Caenorhabditis elegans: one gene and its partners. The protein of the gene in region 2 purifies or fractionates together with the protein of the main gene of each other region. This does not show direct contact. Each region holds a gene or a part of one and is shown on either strand. Other genes may lie near its edges.

Evidence for each region. Proteins that work in one complex are often made in the same cells at the same time.
Region 1: the proteins of hda-6 (region 2) and cus-2 fractionate together in Caenorhabditis elegans (co-fractionation; one large-scale study listed by BioGRID). This does not show direct contact.
Region 3: the proteins of hda-6 (region 2) and nhr-199 fractionate together in Caenorhabditis elegans (co-fractionation; one large-scale study listed by BioGRID). This does not show direct contact.

Annotation. Positions count from the first base shown.
Region 1 is NC_003279.8:652,212-660,086, forward strand, and holds cus-2 (17S U2 SnRNP complex component HTATSF1), read left to right. Parts: upstream 1-1,878; 5' UTR 1,879-1,916; coding exon 1,917-2,016; intron 2,017-2,070; coding exon 2,071-2,848; intron 2,849-4,348; coding exon 4,349-4,535; intron 4,536-6,169; coding exon 6,170-6,433; 3' UTR 6,434-7,375; downstream 7,376-7,875. Other genes in the region: Y65B4A.2 (Peptidase C1A papain C-terminal domain-containing protein), read left to right, coding at 1-162, 1,467-1,534; Y65B4A.8 (Cytidyltransferase-like domain-containing protein), read right to left, coding at 7,794-7,875.
Region 2 is NC_003282.8:5,361,266-5,366,074, reverse strand, and holds the start of hda-6 (histone deacetylase), read left to right. Parts: upstream 1-1,791; 5' UTR 1,792-1,853; coding exon 1,854-1,889; intron 1,890-1,933; coding exon 1,934-2,221; intron 2,222-2,264; coding exon 2,265-2,539; intron 2,540-2,589; coding exon 2,590-3,144; intron 3,145-3,439; coding exon 3,440-3,899; intron 3,900-3,916; exon of another isoform or gene 3,917-3,998; coding exon of another isoform or gene 3,999-4,338; intron 4,339-4,500; coding exon of another isoform or gene 4,501-4,809. Other genes in the region: F41H10.4 (GRIP domain-containing protein), read right to left, coding at 1-33, 82-923, 976-1,123, 1,171-1,296, 1,342-1,515; F41H10.5 (TLC domain-containing protein), read right to left, coding at 3,999-4,338, 4,501-4,809. UniProt on the Caenorhabditis elegans protein: Probable histone deacetylase. Histone deacetylases are responsible for the deacetylation of lysine residues on the N-terminal part of the core histones (H2A, H2B, H3 and H4).
Region 3 is NC_003283.11:15,698,028-15,701,707, forward strand, and holds nhr-199 (Nuclear hormone receptor family member nhr-199), read right to left. Parts: upstream 1,873-3,680; coding exon 1,748-1,872; intron 1,704-1,747; coding exon 1,370-1,703; intron 1,311-1,369; coding exon 1,115-1,310; intron 1,064-1,114; coding exon 501-1,063; downstream 1-500. Other genes in the region: srx-29 (7TM GPCR serpentine receptor class x (Srx) domain-containing protein), read right to left, coding at 1-77, 134-172; Nuclear hormone receptor family member nhr-53, read right to left, coding at 2,637-2,738, 2,794-3,179, 3,235-3,430, 3,680-3,680. UniProt on the Caenorhabditis elegans protein: Orphan nuclear receptor.

The DNA.
Region 1 (7,875 bases), on a different chromosome or scaffold from region 2:
TTCATTATTCGAGCGGAGTGTTCCGCCCGTATCCAACTGATGGTTTCGACGATCGAATTGTGTATTGGCACGTGGTTCGATTGATCGGATGGGGAGAATCAGATGATGGAACACATTATTGGTTGGCTGTTAATAGTTTTGGTAACCATTGGGGTGATAATGGTGAGTTTTCGTGCAAATTGCGCACGGCCCGGCAAATGGTACATCCATACAAATGCGCTCCACTGATAATTTGAGTTTAGCCAGGTTTGGGCGCGTTTTAAGGAAAACGCCTTGGTCCAAAAAATTTAGAATTTGATTTCGGACATTTTTTATATGCATCACAAAAATGTTGGACGAGCCGTTTTTGAGAAAAAGCCCAGGTATACGGTAAACAAATTGCGTACAGGTGCCACTTCCCGGGCCGTGATGCGCGTTAAATATAGTGCTTTTTAAGAATGCGTGTTGCGCAACATATTTGACGCGCAAAATATCTCGTAGCGAAAACTACAGTAATTTTTCAAATGACTACTGCAGCGTTTATGTCGATTTACGGGCTCGAAAAAAAAGTTACAGCGATATTCCATTTTTTCTCATTTTTTGCTTATTTTTATTTAGTATTCTCACGGTGTGTCATTCTGTCCCATAACGGTTTGATCTACAAAAAATGCGGGAATTTTTCGCCCAGAAAAATGTGACGTCAGCACGCCCCTAACCATACGAAATTTGTTGAGAAATCTGCGTATAAATTCCCGCATTTTTTGTAGATCACGCCGAAGTGAGACACTTTGACACCACGTGTATTCTATCTAAAAATAAATTATTTCAAAAATAGAGCCCGAAAAAAAAAATCGACAAAAGCGCTACAGTAGTCATTTAAAGAATTACTGTAGTTTTCGCTACGAGATATATTGATATTTTGCGCGTCAAATATGTTGCGCAGTACGCATTCTTAGAATTTTGTGTTGCCGTAAATAAATTTGGACGTCAAATACAGTGCATATTGCGGTCGATCGGCTACAATATATTTTGCGAGCAAATTTGGAAGTTTTGCGCGTCAAATATGATGTAGCCGATCGGTCATGTTACAAAACACCATATTTGACGCGCAAAACTTTAATTTTGGACAAAAAGTCAGAGAATTAGTATTGCGTAAAAAACTGGCAATTTTTTTCAGAACATTTCTGAAATTTTCAATATATTTTCAAACTTTTCGCGTCAAATATGGTGCATCAAGTCGCGAACCAAATACACTCTAACACGTAGTGCCAGGCTGTCCCATTATAGTTTGACCTACAAAAACGCGGGAATTTTTCGCCCAAAAAAATGTGACGTCAGCACGTTCTTAACCATGCAAAATCAGTTGAGAACTCTGCGTCTCCTCTTCTCCCGCATTTTTTGTAGATCAACGTGATTCAGGCCGAAATGTGACACTCTGACACCACGTGGCCCTAATTAACTCGTAAAAATCACCGTTTTTTTTCCAGGACTCTTCAAAATCAACACAGATGACATGGAAAAATATGGTCTAGAGTATGAAACAGCAGTCGTCTAATTATAATTCGGCAAAAATTTTTTGTAAATAGTTAAATATTGTCCACCTATTTCATCCCCACCCGATTGCATCTCAACTTGTCCCATTTCCGAGAAAAATCAATTATTTATTTTTATTCGGCCATCATTTATTAGCTCCCTCATTCCATAGTTTTTTTTTAATTAGATTTTTTTTGGATGCTAAAATTTGCCATTCTCATAGACATTTTCAATATTTGTGTAAAATAAATCATTTTTCTGGTCTTCAATTGATGGAAAAAAACAAAAAAACAATGCGCGTCAGGTTTGGTGTATTGTGTGCAAACACCGAGCGCATATTTTGAAATTTATTTTTTTTTCGAATTTATTAAAGTTGCTGATTTTCTTTAATTTCAGGCTTAAAAATGTCGGATTTTGTGCCAGAAACCGAGGAAAATGAAGAAGAATCTCAAAAAATCGATGAAATCCATGAAATCCCAGCTCAAGCAATTATCATCGACCAAAGTGAGGAAAATGCTGACTTTATCAATTTTCAATTACTTTTTGCATTTTTTCTAGGTTTTTCTCGACGATTTCTCAACAATAAATGGTACGGAAAGTACGGCGAAGATGGGGATCTTCTGGAGCACATCGACGAGGACTGGGAGCCCGTAGGCCTCGACGAAGTGGAATTTCTGAGCCAACTGTGGTTTGAGCAGGAGGATCAGGAGAAAAAAGCTCATAGGCACTATGATTGGGATGAAGAAAAGAAGGAATGGGTGCCGAAGGCCAAGCAGGAGGAGGTCAATGAGGATTTTATCGCAGAATATCAAGCGAATTACGGGGTTCAGTATGATGATATTTATAAAAAAATGGACGAAGAATTGCAAGAAAAAGCGGCAAAAGCTCAAAAAGAAGATGAAGAGAAGAAGGAGAAGAAGCGGAAGAAAAAAGTTGGCTTGGGAGCCGGGGAAGACGCTAAAGAGGGCTGGCTTGACCTAGGAGATAAGGTTCATGCGGTTTATGTGTCAAATCTTCCGGAAGATATTACAGACGAGGAATTCCAGAAATTTATGTCAAAATGTGGAGTTATTCAGCCGGATATTCGAACGAATAAGCCGAAATGCAAGCTTTACCGGGAGGAAAACGGCAAACTCAAAGGCGACGGAAGATGTTGTTATATTAAGAAGGAATCTGTCGAGCTTGCCTGTAACATTCTCGATGGAGCGAACTTAAACGGGCGGGAAGTGAAGGTTGAGGAAGCTCGATTTGAGATGAAGGGCGATTTTGATCCGGCGAGGAAGCGGCGGAAATTGACTGCGGCGCAGAAAAAACGATATATGGAGCAGCAGAATAAGTAATAAAAAATATTTGGTGAAATTTGAAATAGCTCGTAAATCGACATTAAGCTGAAAAAATGAAAAAAAACCAAAAAAAATCGTATTACGGGAACACAAAATCCTGAGAATGCGTACTGCACAACATTTTTTTTTTTTTTGACGCGCAAAATATCTCGTAGCGAAAACTAAGACTACTGTAGCACTTGTGTCGATTTACGGGCTGCTCGATTTTCGAAATGAATTAAAAGAATTTATTTATGTGATATTGAAATTGGGCAAAAAATAGGAAAATAATACAAAAAAATCTAAAAAATTTATTTCAATAATCGAGCCCCCGTAAATCGACACAAGCGCTACAGTAGTCATTTAAAGAGTAGTTTTCGCTACGAGATATTTTGCGCGTCAAATATGTTGTGCAATACGCATTCTCAGAATATTGTGTTCCCATAATATATCGACGAAAAAATTGGCCCAAATCGTGGATTTTTGTCCGAATTTGATGACAAATGGCTTTGAAAATCACAAAATTTCAGAGAAAAATTTCGATTTTTGGTTTAAAAAAACAAAAATTGAAACCCAACAAAATTGTTAACTTGAAAACCTGCTGAAAATCTTAGAATTTTCAGATTTCACCCAAAAAATACCAGATTTAACTCGAAAATTGCGAATTTTAGGCCAAATTCCTTGCATTTTTCATAGAAAAGATAAACTAACGACACAAAATCAAATGAAATTGACTAAAAAACTATTGAATTTTGTAGAAAAATCCCGATTTTTGCCTAAATTTGCAAAAAAAATATTTTATTTTAGCATTTATTTTTCTTAATTTTCACACTAAAAATTACGAAAAAAGACAAAAAAAATTTTTTTCATTCAACAATTTTTTGGGCTAAAATGTGTAATTTTTGCGGGAAGAATTCGAAAAATTATTAAAAATCGTAGAGACTAACTGAAAATCAATTTTTTAGGGACCAAAAAGCCAACTTTTGCCGATTTTACTCAAATTTTTCCGTGAAAAATCCGGAATTTTTAAATATTATTTAATTGCGAAATTTTACAATTTTTACACCTAAAATAAGGGTAATATGGTAGCTGGTCTCGACACGACAATTTTTTTGTTAAATTCTAAAAAAGGTGTGCGCCTTTAAAGAGTACTGTAATTTCAAACTTTATGGAATTTTTTTTTGATTTTTCAAATAAACTACGAAAAATCGAAGAAAATTCCACAAAGTTTGAAATTACAGTACTATTTAAAGGCGCATACCTTCTAGAATTTTACAAAAAATTTGTCGTGTCGTGACCGGCGACCGTATTACCCTAATTTTTGGTGTAAAAATCGTAAACTGTCCGGATTTTTCACTACGAAATTCAAATTCGAGGAAAATCGAAAAAAATTGGTTGTTTTGGTTCCTAAAAAATATATTTTCAGTTATTTTCTACCATTTTTTAATAATTTCTCGAATTTTTCCCTCAAAAATTACAAATTTCAACCAAAAATTCTGATTTTTCCTTTCCAGAATCTTCGAATGGACGCCCGATAAGCCACGTAACTACCGTCCAAAGTCGGACTGTACGGTTATTGTCAAAAATCTGTTCACTCAGGAAATGATGAACAAGAATGCGGCGTTGATGTTGGATTTGAAAGAGGAAATGACACAAAGTTGTCAGAAATATGGAATTGTTAAGAAAGTCGTCGTTTATGCGGTTGGTATTGAGGAAATTTGTGGAAATTTCGATTTTTGTAAAAAAAATTTATTCTAAAAAAATAAATTAAAAAAAAAAGATTTAAAAAATTTAAAGCTAATTTTCGAAAAATTGAAGCTAATTTTGGAAAAAAAACCGAAAATTTTTTTTTTTAGAAATGTCGATATTCATAAAAAAATATTCTAAAAACGGGATCAAAAATTTTTGAAGCTATTTGTCGGAAAAATTTTTAAAAATGTAAAGCTAATTTTCGAAAAAAAACCCAAAATTATTGGATTTAACAAATTTTCAAAAAAATTGTTCTAAAAAAGATAACCTTTAACATTAAAAAAATTATGGCTATTTTTCGAAAAATTAAAAAAAAACAATTTTTAGCTAATTTTCGAAAAAAAACCGAAAATTTGTGGAAATTTCGATTTTCAAAAAAAATTTATTCTAAAAAAAAATAAATTTTTAACATTAAAAAATGGCTATTTTTCGAAAAAACCGAAAATTTTTGGAAATTTCGATTTTCGAAAAAAAAGTATTTTAAAAAAACAATGAGAAATGGTTATAAATTGTTCTTTCAAAAATTTTTTACAGCTTTTTTTTTCGAGAAATTTAAAAAAAAAACAATTTTTAGCTAATTTTAAAAAAAGTAAAGCTAATTTTCAAAAAGAACCCCAAAATTGATGCATTTATCGATTTTTAAAATAAATTGTTCAAAAAAAGATAAATTTAAAAAAAAAGTTATTGGATTTTTTAAAGTTATTGGATTTTTCAATTTTCAAAAAAAAATCATCAAAATGTATAAATAAATAAAAACTATGGATTTCGAAAAATTAAAAAAAACAATTTTTAGCTAATTTACGGAATTAAAACAACAAAAAATTTCGGAAAATCGAAAATTGTTGGTTTTTTTTTTCGATTAAAAAAATTCAAAATCTTCTGAAAGACATTTTTAAAATTTCCAAAAAAAAATTATGAGTATTTTTCAAAAAACAAATCGAATTTTGATTAACTTCCGATTTTTTTGACATTTTTTGAAATTTGAAAATCATTAATTCAAAAATTTTTATTGAAATAATTCAAAAATTTTTATTGAAAAAAAACGAAAATTTTTGATTTTCGCTTGAATATTTCGGAAAAAACAATCGATTAAAAAAAAAATAGGCTTCTAGTTATTTTTCAAGAATGCTTTTTTTTTGACAAACTGCTGATTTTTTGTCAGTTTCGTCGATTTTCGTTGTAAAAAATCAAAAATTCAAAATTTCTTCTATTACGAGTGCACAAAATGCTGAGAATGCGTATTGCACAACATATTTGACGCGCAAAATATCTCGTAGTGAAAACTACAGTAATTCTTTAAGTGTCTACTGTAGCGTTTTCGGAAAAATTCCACTTTTTTTATTTAAAAAAAAAAACGAAATATTTTGATTTTTTTTTATTAAAAAAAACGAAAAATTTTGATTTTTTATTAAAAAAAACGAAATATTTTGATTTTTTATTTAAAAATGAAAAATTTTGATTTTCCAAAAAAAAAGGCTCCTAATTAAAAAAAAAAAATTTTTTTGAAAAAGTGCAGATTTTTGTCTTAAAATTTAAATCAAAAATTTTTAAATAGACTTTTTCCATCAAATTTCCCCAATTTTCAGAACCACCCGGACGGCGTCGTATCGGTAACCTTTCCAACGACAGAAGAATCGGATATGGCTGTAAAATATCTTCACGGACGAGTAGTTGACGGTCGGAAATTGACAGCCGAGCTCTGGGATGGCCGGACAAAGTTTAAGGTCGAGGAGACGGAAGAGGATGAGGAGAAGCGTCGGAAAGAGTACGAGAAGTATATTGAGGGTGGAAGTAGTGAGACGAAGGAGGAGAGCGACGACGATGATGACGATGAAGCTGAAGATAATTGATTGATCTAAATTTTTTCTGAAAAATTATTTTTAGTTTATACATTTTTCCGAGAGGAGCAACCGATCAATTTTTACCAAAACTATGTTCAAAATCGCCCAAAAATATCAAATTTAGTGAATTTTCGTTTTCATGGATTTTTCGAAAATTAGCTTTAAAAATGTTTGCCAAATTTTTCGACGATATCGCGATATTTTAAAAATTTCGAACAAAAATTGCCTAATTTCAATTAAAATCCCTTTTTTCGAAATTTTCTAATTTTCTGGGCCAATTGGGTCGTTTAAAAAGAAAAATGGCCAAAATTTGAGAGTTTTAAAAAAATTCTAAAATTTCAATCCTACGATTTTCCGGGAAAAAAATTTTCTTGGAAAATTGCTTTTTTTTTGAAAAATTATTTTTAGTTTATACATTTTTTTTCCGAAAATAGGAACAACCTATCAATTGAAATTTTCAAAAAAAAATTAATTAAATTTGGAAGCATTTTCCGAAAAATTGCATGTTTTCGGTTTTCTAGAAAAAAAAAACTAAAAGAACGAAAAATTTCACCAAAAATCAAATATGAAAATACTTTCCTAAAAATCTGAAAAAACCAGAAATTTTCAATTTTCCCTATTCAAAAAAATTCAAAAAAAAAACCAAATTTCAGTTAAAATCCCTTTTTTCGAAAATTTTAAAATTTTCTGCGCCATTGTGTCGTTGATTTGAAATTTTTTTCTAAAAATCCGTGAATTTTTGAAATTAAACAAAAAATTTGAAAAATCAAAAATTATCGATTTTTCAACGAAAAAAATTCAAAAATTTCAATCTTACGATTTTCCTAACTAAAAAAAAATTTGAAGTAACGAAAATGTTCAATTTTTTCGAAAATTTTCGAGGTCATTTAGAGTTTTTTCTGTGAAAATTGCATTTTATATACTCATTTAAATTAATTTTTATATATTCCTTTCCCGAAAACTTCAAAAAAAAAACCCAGTGATACAATTAAAATCGAGATAATCACAGACAAAGTAGGCAGTAGGCAGGCAAAAAACAGGCACATATTAAGGTAATACAAAATTCTGATAATGCGTACATCGCAACACATTTGACGCGCAAAATATCTCGTAGCGAAAACTACAGTAATTCGTTAAATGGATACTGTAGCGCGCTAGTGTCGATTTACGGGAATCTTAAAGAACCTAAAGAATTGTAGGAAAAATGGAGATCCCGTAAATCGACACTAGCACGCTACAGTATCCATTTAAAGAATTACTGTAGTTTTCGCTACGAGATATTTTGCGCGTCAAATATGTTGTTCAATACGCAATTTTAAAATTTCGTGGTCTCATAATAATACACAATTAACTAGTAAATCTACAAAATCTACAAAATTCTCTTCATCAACTCTTCCACAGCTCGATCGACCTGTGCATGAGTCTCCTCGTACGCCCACAGAGAGCACAAC
Region 2 (4,809 bases):
CATTGATGAAACACTTTCGTTTCCGTCGAAAGTCTGAAAAATTTGATGAATATATGTTAGTCCTTGATTAAATGTGCTTACATGACTACTTTGCCTATCATTTTCTGGTGGAACCACATGCCATCCAGCTCTTTCTTCGCTTTTTCTCTCATAAGAATCAGCTCGTTTTCTCTCTTCTTTTAATGATTTTTGTAGCTCTTTCACAAGAGACATTGCTTTTTTCACTGCGAGCTTCTTGTCTTCTTCCGCTGATTTCAGCTTCTCCTCTAAACTCGTCATTTTCAAAAGGAAACATTCTTTATCCGACTCAAAACTCTTTTTAAGATCATCAACTTCCAATTGATAACGAGTTTCGAGAAGAAGTACTCGGTCTTCTAAAAGTTTTTCGTGGTTCTTTGCAGCTTCATTAGTGTTCTGTTGGATTTGAGACGAAAGACGATGATTTTCCGATTTTAAAACTTCGATCTTTTTTTTCAAACCTGATATTTCTTGTTGAGATATTTCAGTCAGCTTTAGTTTTTCTGATTGTAGAGCAGCAAGGTTTTTAGAAACGTCATGATTTAGTTGATTTTCAGAGACGAGTTTAAAATTCTCAGCTTTTAAACTGTCAATTTCAGATTTCTGACTCAACATTGTCTTTCTATATTCCAGATTATCATCAGAAAGCTTTTTATTTTCATCCATCACTGCATTGTTACTCTCCTTCATTTTTTCAGCAATCCCTTCATTTTCTCTGCGTAATTCTTCAATTTCTTTCCTAATTCGCAAATTTTCCTCGACAACCTTCTCCTTAATTTTAAGAATAGCTTCGGATTCTGAAGTTATTGAGAGTAAACGATCTTCAAGCTCGACGTTCAATGTCTGACAGTTTTCAAGTTCTTCACTGAGACTTGTAACTTTGTTGCTTATAGCAGGAATTGTTTCTGTAACCTTTTATACAATTAATTGTATTGAACAAAGTTGGAATAAAATTACCTTGACATAGCAAAACTTTTTCGTCTGTTAAATTTTTAATAGCTTCTTTTAATTGTTCCACTGTTTGCCTTTCTTCTGCTTCTTTTTCCAGAGGATGATCAGAATAAGACGACATTTGATTCTTTAATGTCTCATTTTGTGTGGATATCTGTAATTTGGACATTGAAAAGCTTGAATTTTAAATGTAAAGTTTACTGTCTTGAGCTCTTCAAAAAGGGTAGATTGTTGAAGGCGAAACTCTTGCTCTTGGGTCTCTAGTTTCCGCCGAAGCGACTCAATTTCTGCTTCATCTTTTTTCGAAGAAGATGCTCTGTTGATTAACTGAAAGATTTAAATTAATTATAATAAAAATAAACTTTTCCTCACCTTGCTAGCAAATTGCAATGCTTCATTTTTCGGAGAGTTTTGGTGTTGGGAAGCTGCTGCGTTCTTCTTTTTAATCTCCTCTCGTAACTCGTAATTTTCATTTTTCAGCTGCAAAAGTTGCTCTTGAACAAGAAGGAATTCCTCCTTCGACAAGCCACCCGACTCTGTCGCCATTCTGCAAAAAGTTTGCAACGTAAAATACATAAATTGGGTGTTTAGGAGCAAACGTTTAAAAAACGAACTATAAATCTACACAAGGCGGTTGGAAAAATCAAAGAAAACTTGATATTTCATGTTTTTGTCCAATTACTCTTATTGATGCATAACACAAAAACAAAAAAACATAAACAAAATGCAAAACAGGTCAGAACACACGCGACTTGACGGTAAAGTGCACAGATGGCCGTAGCCTTGAGTTGAATATTCTAGTCCACGGCCATCACGAGGACATTTTTTCCACAGGATTTTTTAGACTTTTAGCGGTTATTCAAACATTTATCGTTTAGTTTTCCATGCTTTTCGAAGATAGGCAGAAAAATCGATCAACGGTAAGAAAAGTATATGTTCGTACAATCATATAATCTATTTACAGGGTCCAACACTCATCGGATTCAATCAAACTCAAAATGAACATGAGAATACAGTATGCCCAACACATCCGGAGTCTTCGGATCGAATTTTGAAGATTAAAGAGGCATTAACAAAGACGAAAATACTCGAAAAATGCACTGTACTAACAAATTTTCTGGAGATCGACGATGCTGACTTGGAAGTAACCCACGATAAAAGCATGGTTAAAGATTTAATGGAATCTGAAAAGAAAACACAAGAAGATATTAATTCACAGTGCGAAAAATATGATTCCGTGTTTATGACAGAGGTATTAATTGGGTAAAAAGAAGCACAAAACGTTGAGAATAAAGTTTCAGAACTCGATGAAAGTTGCCAAAGATGGTGTCGCGTGTGTTCGAGATTTGACGAATAGAATCATGGCTAATGAAGCTTCGAATGGTTTTGCAGTCGTCAGGCCACCCGGACATCATGCAGATTCTGTATCGCCTTGTGGTTTCTGCTTATTCAATAATGTCGCCCAAGCCGCCGAAGAAGCATTTTTCAGTGGAGCCGAACGGATTTTGATTGTCGATTTGGATGTACACCACGGACACGGAACTCAGCGGATTTTTTATGATGATAAAAGGTTAAAAAGGATTTTATAGTGAAATAATAATTTTCTTCAATGAATTTCAGAGTACTATATTTCTCAATTCATCGCCACGAACATGGTCTCTTTTGGCCTCATCTTCCCGAATCAGATTTTGATCATATTGGATCAGGAAAGGGATTGGGATACAACGCAAATCTGGCTTTAAATGAAACTGGATGCACTGATTCTGATTATCTATCGATTATTTTCCATGTTCTACTTCCTCTTGCAACTCAGTTTGATCCACATTTTGTGATAATCTCTGCTGGATTCGACGCACTTCTCGGTGATCCTTTAGGTGGAATGTGTCTTACACCTGATGGTTATTCACATATTTTATATCATCTGAAATCACTTGCACAGGGAAGAATGTTGGTCGTATTGGAAGGAGGTTACAATCATCAAATCTCTGCAGTCGCTGTTCAAAGATGTGTGAGAGTACTGCTCGGATATGCTCCATTTTCAATTGAATTGAATGAAGCACCGAAAGAAAGTACGGTTGATTCATGTGTTAGCCTTGTTTCCGTTCTTCGACATCATTGGAACTGCTTCGACTATTTTCCGTCTCGGACTTCACTAAGATTGGCTCAGTGGCCGATGTACGTTGACTATTTGGGCTCAATTAGACCCGAAATCACCCCAAAACGGGCGAATTTCATTAGGAAAATTTCAAAGTTAAAAAAAAACCGAATTTCGCTAAATCTGCAGCAGGAATACGTATTTTATATTTTTAAAACTTTTAGAATGTATTTTTGTTGCAAAATCGTTGATTTAGACACATTTTAAGTCGATAAAGGCATCCAAAAATCACCGAAAACAGATCATCGAAAATTAATAAAAATACATACTTCCTGAAAAAAAAACATTGAACCTTCCAAATCTATTAATTTTCAGTGTGAACACAAAAGTAATCTACAACTACGATCCAACAACTCGTCGTGCCGACACTGGTGAGATTATTCAAGATGAACTTGCATCCACTGAGTTCACAGCTTCCGATGTGATACCCACTGAAAATATGGAAACATTGATTTATTTCAACGAAGGAGACGATGCTCATTTCGATTTAGAAGAGGACAATCATCCCGAGAAGCCGGCACGGACACGTCGAATTCTGAAGACACTGCGAGAATCTGGAGTACTGGAGAAGTGTGTGGATAGGAATTGTGAAAGGATTGCGACGAATGAGGAGATTCGATTAGTTCACACGAAGAAGATGCTGGAACATTTGAGGACGACTGAAACTATGAAGGATGAGGAATTGATGGAAGAGGCTGAAAAAGAATTCAATAGTATTTATTTAACAAGAGATACTCTGAAAGTTGCACGAAAAGCTGTCGGCGCAGTGTTACAGGTACCTTTTTTTAAAAGAAAATCTTTATTTTTTATCCCGTAAATTATAAACCGTACAATAGATGAAAATTATTCTAGTAAGATCATAAGATCCGAAATTCTAATTTCCCTTCTTCTTCTCTTGATCATCATTCTTGTCTCGAGTCATTGCAAATCTCGCTCGAAGTTTTTCGGTCAAAAATCCGTCAGAAGCAAGAAGTCTCAAGAACAACATTCCATTGATACAACCAAATATGATGGGTCCACCCAATCCGACAAGCACATAATACCAATGAAGACCAGGAACATTGTAAATTGCCCAGTTTGTCCAGAGAATTTGAGAGACGATACGGAAGAAGAAGAAGCTGATGATATTTGAGTAGACGACAACACGGAATACTCCAGGAAATTGGGTGGAAAGGCCACAGATTTGAAGAATTGTTCGGGCGTGAAGGAAGATGCTGAAAATTAGAAAATTGGTCAGGGGGTACTGTATATTATTCTGAAATTGGTGTAGAAACGCGCCCAGCGAATTTACAATATTATCGCGAAATACCTAACGAGACCCATATCTCTGGGGCGGAGCGTGTTTTCCACGATCAAATGGGAATCAAAGTTCTCACCTGTTGACCTCCATCAACAAAGCCCATCCGGCTGCCAGTGTGAACTTTCCAGTCAGCCCGGGAGCCACCAATGCGGCACACGTTGCAAAATGATGAAGCAGCAGCTCCAATGTATAGCTATTCCATTCATACATCAGCATGTCAAAGGCGTCTTGAAAGAAATAGGCGACCGAGATCAATGGGAGCTGAGCGGCAATGGGATTGTACCAGTCGATGACGTCATGAAAGATCTCATGAGGATGACTGAACATCAGAATCAGATCACCACCTCCAACAATGACAGCGTGCAGCCAGCAGACTGTGAGGTTT
Region 3 (3,680 bases), on a different chromosome or scaffold from region 2:
AAAGAGCCATTCATGGAGTACGTTTTACGGATTGCAAGGACTAAAACTATATTTGAGAGGATACCTATTAATGATACCTGAAATTGGAGCAGTTTACAGTACCTTCTATCAACTACGTTTTACAAAAACTCACAATAAAGGTGATTGCGGAGACGACAAATTGCTGATACATTGGGAAATTTTAGAATGTTTTCTGAGTAACTTACAGCTTGATGAGACAATATCATGGTGATGAAAAAAATCTGAAGGAAATATGAAAAACTGTGCATTTTAATTTCCGGTCTAGCCAACGGCGTGGTACTATTGATGTATTATTAAAAATAATAGTTAATTTACAGCTAGAGATTATCAGCGCATTTTCGTAGATCAAACTAAAAAAAACAGTTATAGAAATTGCAAATGCGCTCTGAGGTACTCGGCAAAAGTGGCTGCCAAAGTTTTGTACATTTTTATTAATACTACTGGAATCAAAAATTTACAGTATAACTATTTAAAAAAAATCAAATAGAAACAAATTTACAAATAAATTTTATGAAGTTGGCGAGAACATGTCGTAAAGATTCTTGGGAAGAGCGTACAAATTGAGCATATTTTTGATTTCCATGTATTCGTGAAAACGGTGACTGGCTCTCTGAAACATCTTTAGAGTTTATAATCAAAAAATTGTTGCTCCGCGAGCAACAAACTTGAATTGATGGAAGTATGGACAAAACTGCGCCAAGCCTCATTGCTGCGTCATCATAAATATTTATACATTGATAGTGAAAAAGTAGATCCTTGATGATATTGCTCTTAATCTTCACAGCTTCTTCTTGAAAATCGGCTTCTGACTCAGAATCCGATTCCAAGAGAATGATACCCGCAAGCGCGAGGAACTCATAGATATCTACATTTTCAGCACTCAACGGAACAGTTATAGATGATTGTATTAATTTTAGCCTTTGAGCGAGTATTTCAATATTGTCTCTTTCAGTGAAAGTTTGATGATCGTTGGTGAAAAACGATTCAGAATGAGCCAAATCGATGTAGTCACCGGATGGAATGAGCATCACATTTTTTTGCTCTGAAAATTTAGATATGGAATGAAAAAATTATGGCTGAAAAAAAAACATACTTGCTGAACATCCATTAAACGAGCTCTCAAATAGACAGAACGACAAGAAGAAATTTTTGAAAAATGCGAGTTTTGTGTCTGGAAGAAGCATGGAGTACTCGGGAAATGCTTCCCAGAGGAACTGATATATGCTTGTCGACTCGTTTTGAAACACGATTGGAAGCTCGTTAAAGCCGATGGCTCGGGGTGCTTGGTTCTGAAATGGTTCACTGATCAGGTATCAGTATTTCATATGAACAATTAAACAGTCCTTACCTCCCGCCTATTATGCACGTGTTTCCTGTTTAAAATTAACATTTCGTACGCTCTTCGCAACTTATTAAGCACTGGCTTTCCACGATCATCAGAGATATTCAGACGTTTCCCGAGTTGTTCACGTCTCTGTTGCACCGATGATCGTTGCATTCCCATTTCAAGGCACTTACCGTACCTGCAGGCTTTACACATGCTCCGTGCGTCTGAACTTAGTGGTGATATTTGAAACCCGACCAATAAAAACTTGCATGATAGGAAAAAGCATTGCCCATTTCTCCCACACTCGTGGATCTTATTGTGTTGGACTGTGCGGCGGAAAAATGCAGCGCAAGCTCTGAAAATTTCACGAATTTCAAAATTTTTGAAAAAGTTACTCACCTACACGCTGCAGCTACTCCAAAATGATTCCCATCAGCAACCTCACTACAAATCAAACAATATGGAATCGGTTCATTGGATGAAGCGCTTCCAATATTGTTCAACACACGAGCTAGGGTGAACATGTTTCTGAAATAAATGAATAATTAATTATCATCTGCAACTGCACCTGTTTTCAAATGGATTTAAAAAAAACAAGAATAACAATATTCTGAGATTTTTGAATTTTTGAGCTTCACAAAATCCCTTGGATTAGACTATATAGAGACTAAAAAAAGCAGAAATAAGTTTGTAAGATCAAAAAGTTGGAGGTAGATTTGTTGTGTGATGTGTCTGCCAAATAGAACTCATTACACACGTTTTGAATATGATCAAACACTCTGAGAGCTAACGAGACAATATATTATATATTCACGAGGCTCATTAGTCATAAAGGCAAATCGGACTCCAGCTTAATCTGATGTTATTTCAGAACTCAACAAACTCTTGAAAAACAATGGTTGTGGCATGCTTTTATACCTCGTGTGCCTATTGAAAATTATAAAATTGCATGGCGTGTTTGCACAGCTTTCCGAAATTATACTCTTTTTTTTAAACTGAGCATGCTCCACCAGAGCGCATTAACAGAATTTGCGAAATCCTCTCCTTCTTATGGATTTGCCAAAGTTATTTTTTCTGAAAATAGCATTACTTTTGATTAAAAATTTCAAAAAGTTGCTCAACTGCAAAGTCGCATTGTTCGGTACATTTATTCGGCACATTTCTTCTTCTTATTCCCCACTTCTGCTTTTCAGGACAATTCTAACAAAAGTTTTAATTTTATAGACAAATAAAAATAATACTTGTTTATTGTACACTAAGAAAATAAATTTAAAAAAAACATTAAAATTCAGGAAGTTGGCGAGAACATGTCGTAGAGATTCTTGGGCAGAGCATACAAATTGAGCAGATTTTTGATTTCCATATACTCGTGGAAACGGTGACTGGCTCTCTGAAACAACTTTTGAGCTTATAATCAAAAAATTGTTGCTCCGCGAGCAGCAAACCTGAATTGAAGGAAGTATGGACAAAACAGCGCCAAGCCTCATTGCCACGTCAGCGTATACATTTATAGATTGATAGTGAAAAAGTAGATCCTTGATAATAGCGCTCTTAATCTTCACAGCTTCCTCTTGAACATTCTTCCGATCGGCTTCTACTTCTAAATCGGATTCCCAGAGAATTATAGCCGCTAGAGCTAGAAACTCATTAACATCTACATTTTCAGCACTCAACGGAACAGTTATAGAAGTGTGGAGCATTCGAAATTGCTGAGCAAACATCGAAATAGTGTCTTTTTGAGAAAACGTGTGATGATTATTGTTGAAATATGACTCTAGATGAGCCAAATCAACGTAGTCGCCCGAAGGAATGAGCATCACATTTTCTTGCTCTGAAATTTCAGTTTTTGATTTAATTTTAATTTTTATCTAAAAAGTGGAACTTACTCGTCAAATATCCATAATATGAGCTCTCCAAAAGTGTGAATGGTAGGAAAAAATTCTTAAAAAGCGATCGTTTTGTGTCTGGAAGGAGCTCAGAGTACTCGGGAAATGCTTCGCAAAGGAATTGATAAATTACAGTCATCTCATTTTGATACACTACTTGAAGCTCGTTGAAACTGATGGCTCGGGGAAGTTGGTTCTGGAAAAAAGTTTTAAGCTTTTGGTAATTTTTTTGAAAATTTCGAAATGAAACTCTGTAATTTATGTTCGAGGTTCTTAAAGTTTTTTTTTTTTTAATTTCCCAAACGGCGCAGTGGGAGTTTTCTTGTACACAAAGTTAGGGGGTTCGACCCTCACTGTGAGTATTTTTTAATTAAAAAAATGTAAAGCATAAGTTCAGATTTCATCCTTTAACAATATCCAAATATCCGTATAAAATCACCCCTACC